2 linked regions of the Drosophila melanogaster genome follow. The protein of the gene in region 1 interacts with the protein of each later gene in a pairwise test. Each region holds a gene or a part of one and is shown in the gene's direction. Other genes may lie near its edges.

Region 1 (8,097 bases):
AAATTATGATTAGCTTTTGGTAAAGTTTTCGACCGCAGTCAGCAGTGCAGTGGTGGGGGCACTTTTGAGCTGCCATCGCATACTTTGCGCCACTAATCCGCCGGACGGACCAAGGACTACGGACCACAGACAGCGGACAGCGGACAGCGGATTTCGGACGGACAGCGCATCAGTGGAGCGTAAAGGACCTGGGATCTGAGAACAAAAAACGGGAATTTCCGCAAGCGCAACGTTTTAATTTGACTCTTGATTGTTATGCCATTGTTGCCTAGCATTGTGCATTCCGCATTCTACACTCGACATTCGGCGCCCTTAACTCTGTGTGGGCTCTTTGTGTAATCGCCGCTAATGCGCCCGAAATTGTGCTAAACGATTTTCATTCTGAGGGCCTCCAATCCTCCAAACCACCAACCTCCACCCCATTTCCGCCCACCAATTTTCGAGACTCCCGGACCGCGGGCTATTAAGCAACTGTGGGCTGTGCGTTACAATAACCATGTTTTAAAGCCCCGCGGGGAAATGGTGATGCTATTTTTCTGACTTATCGCAGGATTATGAATCGTGGGACATTTGCCTTGACTGTGGCCATTGTGATTTGCATTTGCACGCAACATTTGTTAAATTTCTATCGTCATGTATGTCATTTCACTTAATTATGCCATTTACTTTGCATACAAAGCTGCCATAAGTTTGCTACCAAATTCTTGGACAAATTTTTCAGGAAAAGGGCGAGGCATTTTTCCAGCACAGAACAATTTGTCACAATTATTGCACACGAAATGACAGGCAGATGAAAACCAAGCAGCTGGAAAACAAGCTCCGGCTCCGGAAAAGTCGACTCCAAGTAGGCGAGCCGCAACTTTGACAAGTTAAATGTGTTTTGGGCCTGCACAATGATGCAGCAAATGCTCGCTCGGAATATTCAGGAGCAGGAGTAGGAAAAGGAGGAGTACGAGTGGGAGCAGGACGAGCCAGCCACCTGCATGGGCAAACGTGTCCGAAATTTTGTCATATTTTTTGGTTAATTTCAAAAATGCAAATCATCGATGTCCTGGCCGACATCGGAGCACGTCCTGTCGCCTTTTTTGACAAATTTGCCAGCACTGCTCGTGCGGCAATGTGCTCGTTACAAACTTTCTGTGGTGTAGAATATCATGGATCCGGTGGGCTTTGCACTTTGCCATCCTGCAAAACCCGTGCCAGCCGATGTCGATCGTTATGTTTTCCATGGACATGGAGGAGGCCGCTCATTTGTTTGCAGCTTATTCGCATAGTTGATGTTGGTTTGCTGCATGGTTCAGAGGGCCATGGCTTCACTGGGCCATGTTATGCAAAGTTAGCATTTCCATTTCCTGCCTTTGTTTGCGCATCCCTTGGTTAGTTTAGGCCACAGTTGTCCTTCCTACGCAACTAAAAATTTGATTATTTTTACTAACTAATTAGGACTGTGCGGGCTAAGCAGTTTATTTACCTTTCATTAAAGTTCTGAGTGCCTTTTGTGTTGTATTGATTAAGATGCTGCTTCTTTAAACAAGATAGTTACATATTTAAACTATCTTTTTTTATTTCATATACAATGATTTTGTTAGTTTTTGAGTACTTAAGATTATTAGGGTTTCCTCAAGCTGCTCTTAGTTACATTTTCATAGTTTTTAAATTGTTAAAAAGTTGATTGGTTCTTGAAACCTCACATTGGAAAACAATTTCGATGACCAATCGCGTTCGATTGTCTTTAACCATCGTCTTTAACCATCTGACATTAAGAGTCTGAAGCTTTTGAAAAAAGCTCGGACCGGTTTCTCTCCAAACTGCGCATGCGCAGCCATCTAACTGCAGTTCCAATGGAGCAGAGCGAAAGCAGACAAGGTGATGGAGACTTCTGGGCGTTAAAACTCATTGCCCGAGCGATCCGATCGCACAGTTGAGAGCGAGACGTAGACGCGTGCGCACGTACGAGTTTGGTGAGTTCCGATTTCTGCGAGTGTAGTACGATGAATGGTGAATCAAGTGAATGTGGAATGCGGAATGCTGCTCTTGAATGCCGTTTAATGTGCCGCCGGAAAGCATATCAATTTAAAATATTTAAATAATAATCTATCTGTTCGTGCAGGTTTATGTCGGCTAACGAAATGGCGCTTGTGAAAATCTGCATATTTGCTTTGGCTTTGGCCGTGGGTAAGTGTGGAAAAAGCTCTTAATTGCATTTGCCAATTAATGATACGTCAATACCATGGCGTGCAAAATGTCCCTGTGCAAACTCTATTTGAATAATGTGCCGTGACTTTAATGCTCTTCTGCTTTCGGCGAAAACAATCGCCTCTAATTGTTGGCCGCACCCAAACAAACGGGAACAAACCCACAGGCCAACCTAACTACAAACAACGCAACAAACAAACGAACGAACAAATAAACGAACCAACCAGGATAATAGCGACAAACAACCATATGCAAATGCAGAATGCACAGTGCTGCAGCAACTAAGCTGAAAAATATTGTTGTTAACATTATTGGCGCCCATGTTTATGCATATCTGCAGTGTTTGCAATCCTGGCCCTCTTTTCATCATGTCAACTGTTGTCCGATGATTCGATGGCATAGAACACGTGTAAATGCCACATGTAGCATATATGGCATATAGCACTTGCTGTTGTTGTTGCTGCCAATTTGCATGACTTTTGTTTTTCGGTTTTCATACCCTCATACGCTACTCATTGAGTAAAAAGGGTATACCAGATTCGATGCTCTCGGGAAATATAAAAGTTATGTTAAGTTATACAGAATACAGTGGAGACTTACGGGAGCGATTATGTTACTACCGCTAGGTGGAGCTCGTGTGAGCTCGAACGCTAGGTATCTGATAGTCGAGATACTCACCTATAGCGTTCTCTCGTGATTGGATCGGAATTACAGCTGCAAACCCATTGGCATTCCAATTGCAATTGGAAATTCGGCAATTTAATTTGCTGGCAAATTTTCTGCTCATTTATTGTGTGAAAGCTCATTAAAAATTTGTTTGTCTCCAATGTGCGGGGGCATTAAAAATGCACATTGTTAACTCGCCGGCATAAAAACATACATATTAAACAAATTGATAGGCGAGCAACTGTTGCACTCGGGGGGCGTAAGCTGAATTTGGTAATTATATTAAAATGTCTATGGCAAAAATATGGCAACAGCTCATAATTAAATGTATTGCAATTCGGTGCCGCCGGGGTTGAAAGCAAATTAAATTGCCAGTTAATTGAGGAAAAACTCACCGCGTTGAGACAAAGGAAAAGTTTTAATTTGATGGTAAACATGTTTGTACGAAAAGTTTATAATGTGTGTGTTTGCCTATCGAGACGAACACCTTTTTACCCCCTATTTTATAAAAATCTCTTACATCTAATTTAACAAACCGGTCGGTTCTATTGTCAATCTCGCATCAGTTCAGTGAATGACATGAAAAAGTGCTTACAATCTGTTTATTTTTAATCTATTTAATGTTCATTGAACCTAACACGCTGCCTGCACGCACTTTTCCAAGATGACAGCCACGACACCCACGACGTGTGTGACTGGAATCGAAAATCCAAAGATTCAAAGCTCCCAAAAAAAAACCGTATTGTAGCCACGACTCACTCCTCCGTCTGCTTTGCAATCGGCAGTCAATTAATCTAGTCTAACCGGACTGGGAATCGAGTCAAACGGTCCAGGACCGGGTTGAACCGGGTCTGTTGACAACGGTTGACTCCAACTCCAATTCCAACACCAATTCCAATTCCAATTCCTACTGCGACTGCAAACTCCATGGCAAACTTGTTGACAGACTGTCAGAGCGACGCGACGGCCCCCAACCAAGTCGACCAAGTTGACGAGTCGAAAAAAGCCAGGCCCAAACCGCATAGGCCACGCTTCGCTTGACTCGTTCGCCGGGCTGCGAAATAAAAAAAAAAAAAACGGAGGGTCATAAAAATGAAAGGAAAATACCTATTCAGGAGCAGGTCGTAAGGGAAATGCCCTTGGGGGAAAAGCCATTTCAGGCAATTATTAAAGAATGGCTGGGAAAAAGTGAATATTTGAAAGGATAAATATTATTCATTGTTTCATATCGAACAAATATTGTGGCACATTTTATTCGAAACTAAATTTAGTCTGCTTTGCTTTGCTATTTAAAGGCTGCAAGTGGTCCATAGTTTAAATTTAAGCCATTGAATAGTTTGAATGTTCATTTAGTTGAAATTTAACGCAACTAACCGAATCAGCTAACAATAATGTCTGTTAAAATCTACAATTATTTAATTAATTAGGACTTCGATTTTCATTTAAAGTGCTAAAATTAAGCCGAATAGCCAGCTCGAAAAAAAAGTTTTACAATAATGCAATTATGCATTTGGTTTGGTTTAACTTTAGTCGGTGAAAAAACGATGCTTTCAATTTGATAGCTCTCGAATAGGTGTGAATTTATAAAATTAAAAATCAATTAATAATATTAGAGGCATGTTCATACAGTTGTTTATGCAATTTCTTTGTTTTGAGAGTGTCTTTCATTGAACTCCTCCTGCGCAAGAGTATTTGCCAACTGAACTATGAAGCTTTCGTGACTTTTTCTTTTCCAGCTTCTTGTTTGGGTTGGGTATATATATTTTCTTTTTTTTGGTTTTTCACCAGATCCCGGTTCGTGTACGAAACATGTTTCAATGACAAGCGACAGCTGCAACACCCAACACTTGCAGCAGCAGCAGCAGCAGCAACTTGGTGTTGTTGGCTTAAATGTTGGCCGACACTTCACGCACTAATTGCTGTGTGGAATTGTTTCTTTATTAACGTTTAATCGAATGTCAGCCGAGCGACGTCAGCATCAGCAACTTGCTGGCGGCATTGTTGATGTTCACTGCGGCTGCCAAACGAAAATTGAAATCGTCTTTTCTTGTTTCTCTTGTATCGCTTGGCTTTTTACGTATCTACATATATAAAGTATATATATGTATATATATATTTTTTTTGCAATTTTGCTCGGTCTGATTGAAGTGGTTTACCTTGAGGAGAGCTCCACCATGTTAACTGGATGCATTTGCTGCATGTCGCATATCTTGAAAAATTTCTTGCAACTTGCAGGAAATGCTAATTGATACTGAGTTTTCAAGGCTGTGCTTTGGCATCAGCTGCTCGGCGGCTTAGATCAGCTGTTTGTGGATCCAAAACCGGGCTTTGTAATACCCGAGAGACTTTCACTTTTAAGGTCGCTCCAATCCAGTGGCCTGTGTCGCAATCGCAAAGCGACAACTCATATACATATCGGTTGCTATTTGTTGAGTTGCCGCAAACGGGTTTTCACGCAAACATAGTGGAAACGTTGGGCAAAAAACAAAAGGCAAAAACGTGCAAGATACACTTGGAAAAAAAATGCTGAGAAGTTATTACAATCACTTTAGAGTAGGTAAATTGCAGGAACCATGGATCAGTGGTTTGGGAATTTCTAATCCTAATCTAATCTTACAATATCCTAGTCATGAAATCAAAATATATCTTGAGTTTCAAAAGTTTACCGCCATTACATTGCTTAATATGCGAAAGCAATCTAAAAATCAATTACTCTTTCTAAAACAATCAACAGAGTAGCATTGTCAAAAGCTTCAACTAGATTAGATCCTGCAAATAAATTCACAAGCTTAGCAAAGTGTTTGCACTTGTGACAAATGAACATGAGAAATGTTGTTAAAATTCACACTCGATTAGGCGCATTTTGTTTAATAGATTAGCTTAGCATTTTATTGCCGAATGGTATAAGAATAATTGTGCGAAACTGTGGGGCTTTGCTGCAATTTAATAACGAAACTATCGAATTAAATGTAGAAAAAGGTTAAACACAGTTTAAAGTTTGATTTATATTTAAGTTGATAACAGCAATGTGTGCTATTTCATAAACTGGCCATTGCAGAGAGTTTCCATCAGCAAAGTAGATTAAAACTGCAAGCAAGGACATTTTGTGTGTGTGTGTGTTATTTATGTATGGACTGAGTTAACATGTGTATATCTCAACTATCTTCTGGTCTGCAGGTCTGACCGCAACCAAGGCGCAGGAGTCGAGAGGCGGTTTCCGTGGCAGTAACAGCCAGTTTCGCGTGGGTCCTGGCCATCCGCCCTCGCAGCGCCACCTGCCGCCCCGAAACCGTGATCCCGTCCAGGAGGCATCGGTGGTGCCAAAGAGCAAACAGACGGCGGCGGAGAAGGAGTACGAGCCCACCGAGGAGTGCCCGGAGCCCAATGGCTTCTATCCGGACAGCAAGCAGTGCGACAAGTACTACGCCTGCCTGTAAGTGACCAAAAGGAGTAGACACACCCGGCCACGGGGCGTATGAGTAATGGCCGTTGCTTAATGCCACATTGACCACATTTGCAGGGATGGTGTGCCCACGGAGCGACTGTGCGCCGATGGCATGGTCTTCAATGACTACTCACCCATCGAGGAGAAGTGCGATCTGCCCTACAACATTGACTGCATGAAGCGGAGCAAGCTACGTGAGTATAAGTCCTTAATTTGCAAGAACCGCTTTACGTATGCACCGCACAAATCCCAAGACCCCACCTATATATATATATATAGTATACATATATATGCTCCTCCATCTTCTGGGCCAAGAATCGGGCAATAAACGCGCTTCGTGCTCGCACTTATTTGCTCGTTACTTCTTGGCTGCGCTTTTTGTTAACTTATTTATTATGCAAACGGCATGCGCAGCGGTTAACCCAAATTGTTGTCGTCAATAGGTCTTTGGTCTTGGCGGTGCTTTGTTTTCATTTTTCGCCTCCTGAGTAGACTCAGTTTTATTCGTGATTTTATTATTTCCCCAACGCCAGAGTCGCGCCACCAAAAAATTTTAAGCCCAATGCCATGGCAATTGGCTTCCCGCGGTTTTAAACTTGCCACGAATTTGGTCTGCCACGTGTGTGTGTGTGGGAGTAGAGCATCCTTCAAACTTCTCGACAAAGGACTTTTATTAAAGTTCTCACGTTGAGAGTTTCTTGCACTAGCGCTAGTTCAAGTGGATTTAAGAAAATTTCTTATTCACTTAAAAAGTCGCACACATTTTGTGTGACCATTTTTAATATGAAATATTGCTGCACGTTTTAGTTTTTAAATAAATTATTTGCCACCCATCAAGGCAATTAGTACACATTGTGCAGGCCCATTAGCAATTTCAATTACCTTTGTCTCCTGTTGACATACATACATACATACATATAACGTTGCCATGGCATATATGCATATAGTTCGCAAAGCATACAGCACCTGAATAAATGTGTGTCTAGTACATTGTGCTGGCGCAGTAATGTATTTACGGATGTGCAAAAAGGGTTTTACGAGCATACAGATAGATAGATACCTTTTGCGAGGGAAACTCAAGGATGCACAGAGGGAATATTCCATTTGTAATTTCCCTATTGTTCAATCGCAGAAACACCTCAGCCATCGCTTCACTGTCCCCGGAAGAATGGATACTTTGGCCACGAGAAGCCAGGCATCTGCGATAAGTTCTACTTTTGCGTGGATGGTCAGTTCAATATGATTACCTGCCCGGCTGGACTGGTCTTCAATCCCAAGACGGGCATATGTGGCTGGCCTGACCAAGTGGGCGTCACTGGCTGCAAGTCGGAGGATGTCTTCGACTTTGAGTGCCCCAAGGTGAACGAGAGCATCGCAGTGACACATCCCCGCTACGCCGATCCCAACGATTGCCAGTTCTTCTACGTCTGCGTCAACGGAGATCTGCCCAGGCGAAACGGATGCAAACTGGGCCAGGTCTTCGACGAGGAGAAGGAGACCTGCGACTGGGCACGCAAGGTGCCAGATTGGTAAGCTATAGTTATCCCTAATATAAAGTACTATTGGGAATTTTATTCTTGGATTCTAATAACTACATCCCATTTCAGTGCCGACTGGTACAAGGATCGTCTGACCGACAAGGAGCTGGATGAGCTGGAGAACCCGAAGCCCAAGACCACGACCACCAAGAGGCCGCCACGTGTCCGCGGTCAGTCGAGGCGCAAGCCCCAGCCGAAGCGAGTGGAACCGGAGCAGGTTAAGGAGGAGGAGGAGGAGGAGGAGGAGTAGGC
Region 2 (4,674 bases), on another chromosome or scaffold:
TGTTTCTTCATATAGTCGAATCCATCGCCAATGGTAAGCTTCAACTTCTCGTTGGCGAAACCACAGGCCATCGCTGGGAGATATTGCTTGGACAGCTCGACGACACGGTCGTCGATTTCCACCTGATGCACTTCCTCGACCAGTGGATGCTTTACCACCTCGCGAGCAACGCCGCCATCGCCACCGCCCACGATCAGGACCTTTTTGGGATTGGGATGGGCGCAGAGCGGCAGGAAAGATATCATCTCCTGGTACGAGAACTCATCCCTGGCCGTGCACTGAATGATTCCGTCCAGAATTAGGCACCGTCCATAGGTTTCGCTGTAATAGAATTATCGAATTATTGATTTTTTCAGCGGCGCAAGTGTACCCAATGTTCGACTGGAGGAACTCAAACCTGAAAGACGAGCTGACTTGCTATCAGTATTCTGTCTGTCGTTTTTGGCCCTAGATGACTCCATCGATAAGGCTGTTGGTGCAGATCAAGAATAAACACACGAAAACCAAAGGGTCCGAAAATGCTGGCTGGGCAATTTGTGTTTGAACAACCAGTGGAAAATTTTCGATTTCTACAATCTATGATTTAGGGACCTTCAATGTAGGATACATATGGGATTAGGCTATTGTAGGTTAGTCCTTAAAATCTCAACAGCTTAAGCTGTTAAAAATTTCGGATTTGTGTGACTTGCGTGTTTATAATGATTTTAATTTAGTTTTTTAATCTCAATCTAAGCTAATTTATTTTGACATCTATCTTCAAACTTCAGTCTAGACTGAGGAATTTCGGATGTAAACAAATGGGGTTGTGTGTCCAAGTATTTGTTTATCTATTATTTATCTTACGTTTCAACGATCTGGATGTCTTGGAACCGGGACTTCTCCTTGTGGATGACCTCCTTGACTTTCAGGGAGAATGACTGACCGGGCCAGAGATCGGCCTGCAGTTCGCTGAACCATCCGTTGTTAAGGGAATCCATTTGTTTAATGCCGCATTCGAATCGGCGTTTGATAAGATTGGCTCAACACGTGGGCTCGACACGAACTTACCGTATCTGCCACAAAGCTAGGTCTTAAAAAATACCTTAGAAGGTCTATTGGTATAAATACCAAAGCTTTTTTGTTTTAATTAATTTAATTTCACTTTTCTATTTCTGGCTATTTATCTTTTTTATTAATATAATACATTTCCAGCGAAAATTGTAATTTTTTAATGTAATAAAGTCAAATGTAAAAGTTAGCACTTATAGATAAAAAAGTTCCTAAAATTAACGAAATACAGGTGCAAAGTTTTGGAATTCCTTTATTTGTTTTTGATTTGTATTATAATGTATAATTAACATTCTAACTTTTTAAATACTATGAACTTTATCGGGTGAAAACTTAATTGTTAACATGTGATGTAAGTGTGAGTTAAAATTTTCAAAACCCTTAAGCCGTTAAAAAGCTTAGGAATGTTCTGGAAGCACAACTGTTCTTCCTGTAACTACTACAATTGTTAAGTAGTAGAAGAATTGTTATTGGAGTAATTTTATGTTTTCTTAGCTTAGCCTGCTGCAAGTGATTAATTGTATGCCAGAATATATTAATTTTATATATTTTATAATTTAATTTAATTAGCAAACGGTCACTTTAGTGTTTCTAATTCCAGCTCAAGCAATCGATAGCGACAGGGCAGCATGCGATTGCTTATCGAAATCAGCCCTGGCCGGTGAAAAAGAATACGTAGACATCCCTGATTGGCCTGATTTGGGCCAATGAAAACGTTCCAGCAAACCAATTTCAGTAACAAGCCGTCCCGCTCCGACACGCACGATTTAGATGCAATAAATAAATAGCACTTTCTTGCCGGCATTTAGTACTTAACTTTAACCGAGTTCGGACAACCATCGGAGTTGGAAGAGTCAGTCCAAAAAGTGGTGCGGGATCGTTCACATGATGTGGTGCAAAACAGTGATAGTGTTGCTGGCGACAGTCGGCTTTATTAGTGCCGAGGTTTATCTGAAGGAGAATTTCGACAACGGTAAGTGGTAGTCATCGCGTTCTATGGCCGCCATGTGGTCCTCCGCTCCCCTTCAATGAATAACGAAAGGAGAGACAATAAAAATAGAAGAATAATAAAAGCACTCCCCCGCTTGTTCCCGTAGAAAACTGGGAGGATACGTGGATCTACAGCAAACATCCTGGCAAGGAGTTCGGAAAATTCGTCCTCACCCCCGGTACCTTCTACAACGATGCTGAGGCCGACAAAGGTAGCGTATATGTGTCGATGTGTCGTCACTCCCTTTTCCAAATCTTTCTCTTCGCTCGTTCTGCCATTTTTATTTTTCGTCGGCGTGTTATCTGCATTTGTATGTGCCCGTGTATGCGGAGAACATGGGCACGAAGAAGAAGAGGAAGAAGAAGAAAAACCACTACGTGTACGTTTTCGAGTAGCTATAGTAACTGTATACACATTTTTTCTCGCCCCCCACCTCCGCGCGGCGCGCATTCGTATTGATGTGGACACACATTATATAGGCATTCAGACCTCTCAGGATGCTCGATTCTACGCGGCCAGCCGCAAGTTTGATGGCTTCTCCAACGAGGACAAGCCCCTCGTGGTGCAGTTCTCCGTGAAGCACGAGCAGAATATCGACTGCGGCGGCGGCTATGTGAAGCTGTTCGACTGCTCCCTCGACCAGACCGACATGCACGGCGAGTCGCCGTACGAGATCATGTTCGGCCCGGACATCTGCGGACCCGGCACCAAGAAGGTCCATGTGATCTTCAGCTACAAGGGCAAGAACCACCTAATCAGCAAAGACATCCGCTGCAAAGATGACGTGTACACCCACTTCTACACGCTGATTGTCAGACCCGACAACACGTACGAGGTGCTCATCGACAACGAGAAGGTGGAGTCTGGCAACCTGGAGGACGACTGGGACTTCCTGGCCCCCAAGAAGATCAAGGATCCCACCGCCACCAAGCCCGAAGACTGGGACGATAGGGTAAGTTGTAAATCCCCGCCCAAATCAGACTTTAGCCCATCGAAAAACCGGTTTGGCTCATTGTTATTAAACAACAACGTAAATCTCTGTAGGCCACCATTCCCGATCCCGATGACAAGAAGCCCGAGGACTGGGACAAACCAGAGCACATTCCCGACCCAGATGCCACAAAGCCTGAGGATTGGGACGATGAGATGGACGGCGAGTGGGAGCCACCGATGATCGACAACCCTGAGTTCAAGGGCGAGTGGCAGCCAAAGCAGCTGGACAACCCCAACTACAAGGGCGCCTGGGAGCATCCCGAGATCGCCAATCCCGAGTATGTGCCCGACGACAAGCTGTATCTGCGCAAGGAGATCTGCACCCTGGGCTTCGATCTCTGGCAGGTCAAGTCCGGCACTATCTTCGACAACGTCCTGATCACGGACGACGTGGAGCTGGCCGCTAAGGCTGCTGCCGAAGTCAAGAACACCCAGGCGGGCGAGAAGAAAATGAAGGAGGCCCAGGATGAGGTGCAGCGCAAGAAGGACGAGGAGGAGGCGAAAAAGGCTTCCGACAAGGACGATGAGGACGAGGATGATGACGATGAGGAGAAGGATGATGAATCTAAGCAAGACAAAGATCAAAGCGAACACGACGAATTGTAAGGACGTCTAGGGAAAATTACGTCGAGAAATATTCGGTATTTTTTGTGTGTTGGTAGCTGCTTTGATGTTCTAAGCAAACGGAAACCACAATTACAATTTGTAAGACTTATAATTTATAAACATACAACTTGTTGTTTTTTTCCATTGCTCTTTTCGAGCGATTTAAGGGTTGTTTAGCTTGTTTATCAAAATGGTGGTGCCACGTGAACAAATCACGGCCGAATGGCAACGCTGTCTATATCGTCGTGTCTACATCGAATTTTGATTTACAGAAAAACGGTGTTGCCACTCCAAATGGTTTTCAAAGTGCTGTTCGAATTCTACGAAAATATAAATCCTAAATTCAATTAAATCCCAATATGAACTATAGAAACAATGAGATATAAACATAACCGAATCCTAATTTATTTATTCGAGTAAGCCGTGGTATTTGGTCAAGAATTTAAGGTATCACTTTAGCTTTAGCTTTTGATCTCCATCCCGATGCTTGCCCAGAAAGTGCCGCTTCAGATGATGTTTCTCCCGGAAGTCCTGCAGGCAGATGGAACACTTGTAGGGCCGTTCATCCGAGTGGCGTCGTCGGTGCTTCGCCAGGTTATTGTTGTCCGAAAAAGTCTTGGGGCAGTGGGGGCATTGGTAGGGCTTCTCGCCCGTGTGTATGCGGATGTGGACCTTAAGGGCCTGCTTGGAACGGAAGTTGGACACGCAGAAGGGACAGGCATGCGGCCGTTCGCCCATGTGCGCATGGATGTGCACCTTGAGGGCCGACTTGTTGAAGAATCCCGTTTGGCAGTATGAACATTTGTGGGGTCCGTTTCCCTGTTTCGATTCCGCGTGGATCAACAGGTGCGCCTTGAGGTTTTGTTCGCGAGTAAAGGCCTGCTGACAGTGGGGGCACTGAAAGGGCGAACGCTCCTGCATATCCTTGCATTTGTGGCTGTCCAGGCTCTGGGTGCTTGAAAAGACCTTTAAGCATTCCGGGCACTCGACGGTGGAATTGCTATTGCGATAACATTGGTGGTTATCCAGATCGGCCT

The links. Proteins that work in one complex are often made in the same cells at the same time.
Region 2: the proteins of obst-B (region 1) and Calr interact in a two-hybrid assay, tested with the Drosophila melanogaster proteins (one large-scale study listed by BioGRID).

Annotation. Positions count from the first base shown.
Region 1 is NT_033779.5:10,030,779-10,038,875, forward strand, and holds the start of obst-B (obstructor-B), read left to right. Parts: upstream 1-1,911; 5' UTR 1,912-1,961; intron 1,962-2,110; 5' UTR 2,111-2,114; coding exon 2,115-2,175; intron 2,176-6,039; coding exon 6,040-6,295; intron 6,296-6,382; coding exon 6,383-6,501; intron 6,502-7,439; coding exon 7,440-7,836; intron 7,837-7,914; coding exon 7,915-8,095; 3' UTR 8,096-8,097.
Region 2 is NT_033777.3:9,628,024-9,632,697, reverse strand, and holds Calr (calreticulin), read left to right. Parts: upstream 1-1,846; 5' UTR 1,847-1,932; coding exon 1,933-2,020; intron 2,021-2,144; coding exon 2,145-2,249; intron 2,250-2,257; exon of another isoform or gene 2,258-2,443; intron 2,444-2,517; coding exon 2,518-2,990; intron 2,991-3,082; coding exon 3,083-3,637; 3' UTR 3,638-4,007; downstream 4,008-4,674. Other genes in the region: SpdS (spermidine synthase), read right to left, coding at 1-321, 844-977; CG8319 (uncharacterized protein), read right to left, coding at 4,088-4,674. UniProt on the Drosophila melanogaster protein: Molecular calcium-binding chaperone promoting folding, oligomeric assembly and quality control in the ER via the calreticulin/calnexin cycle.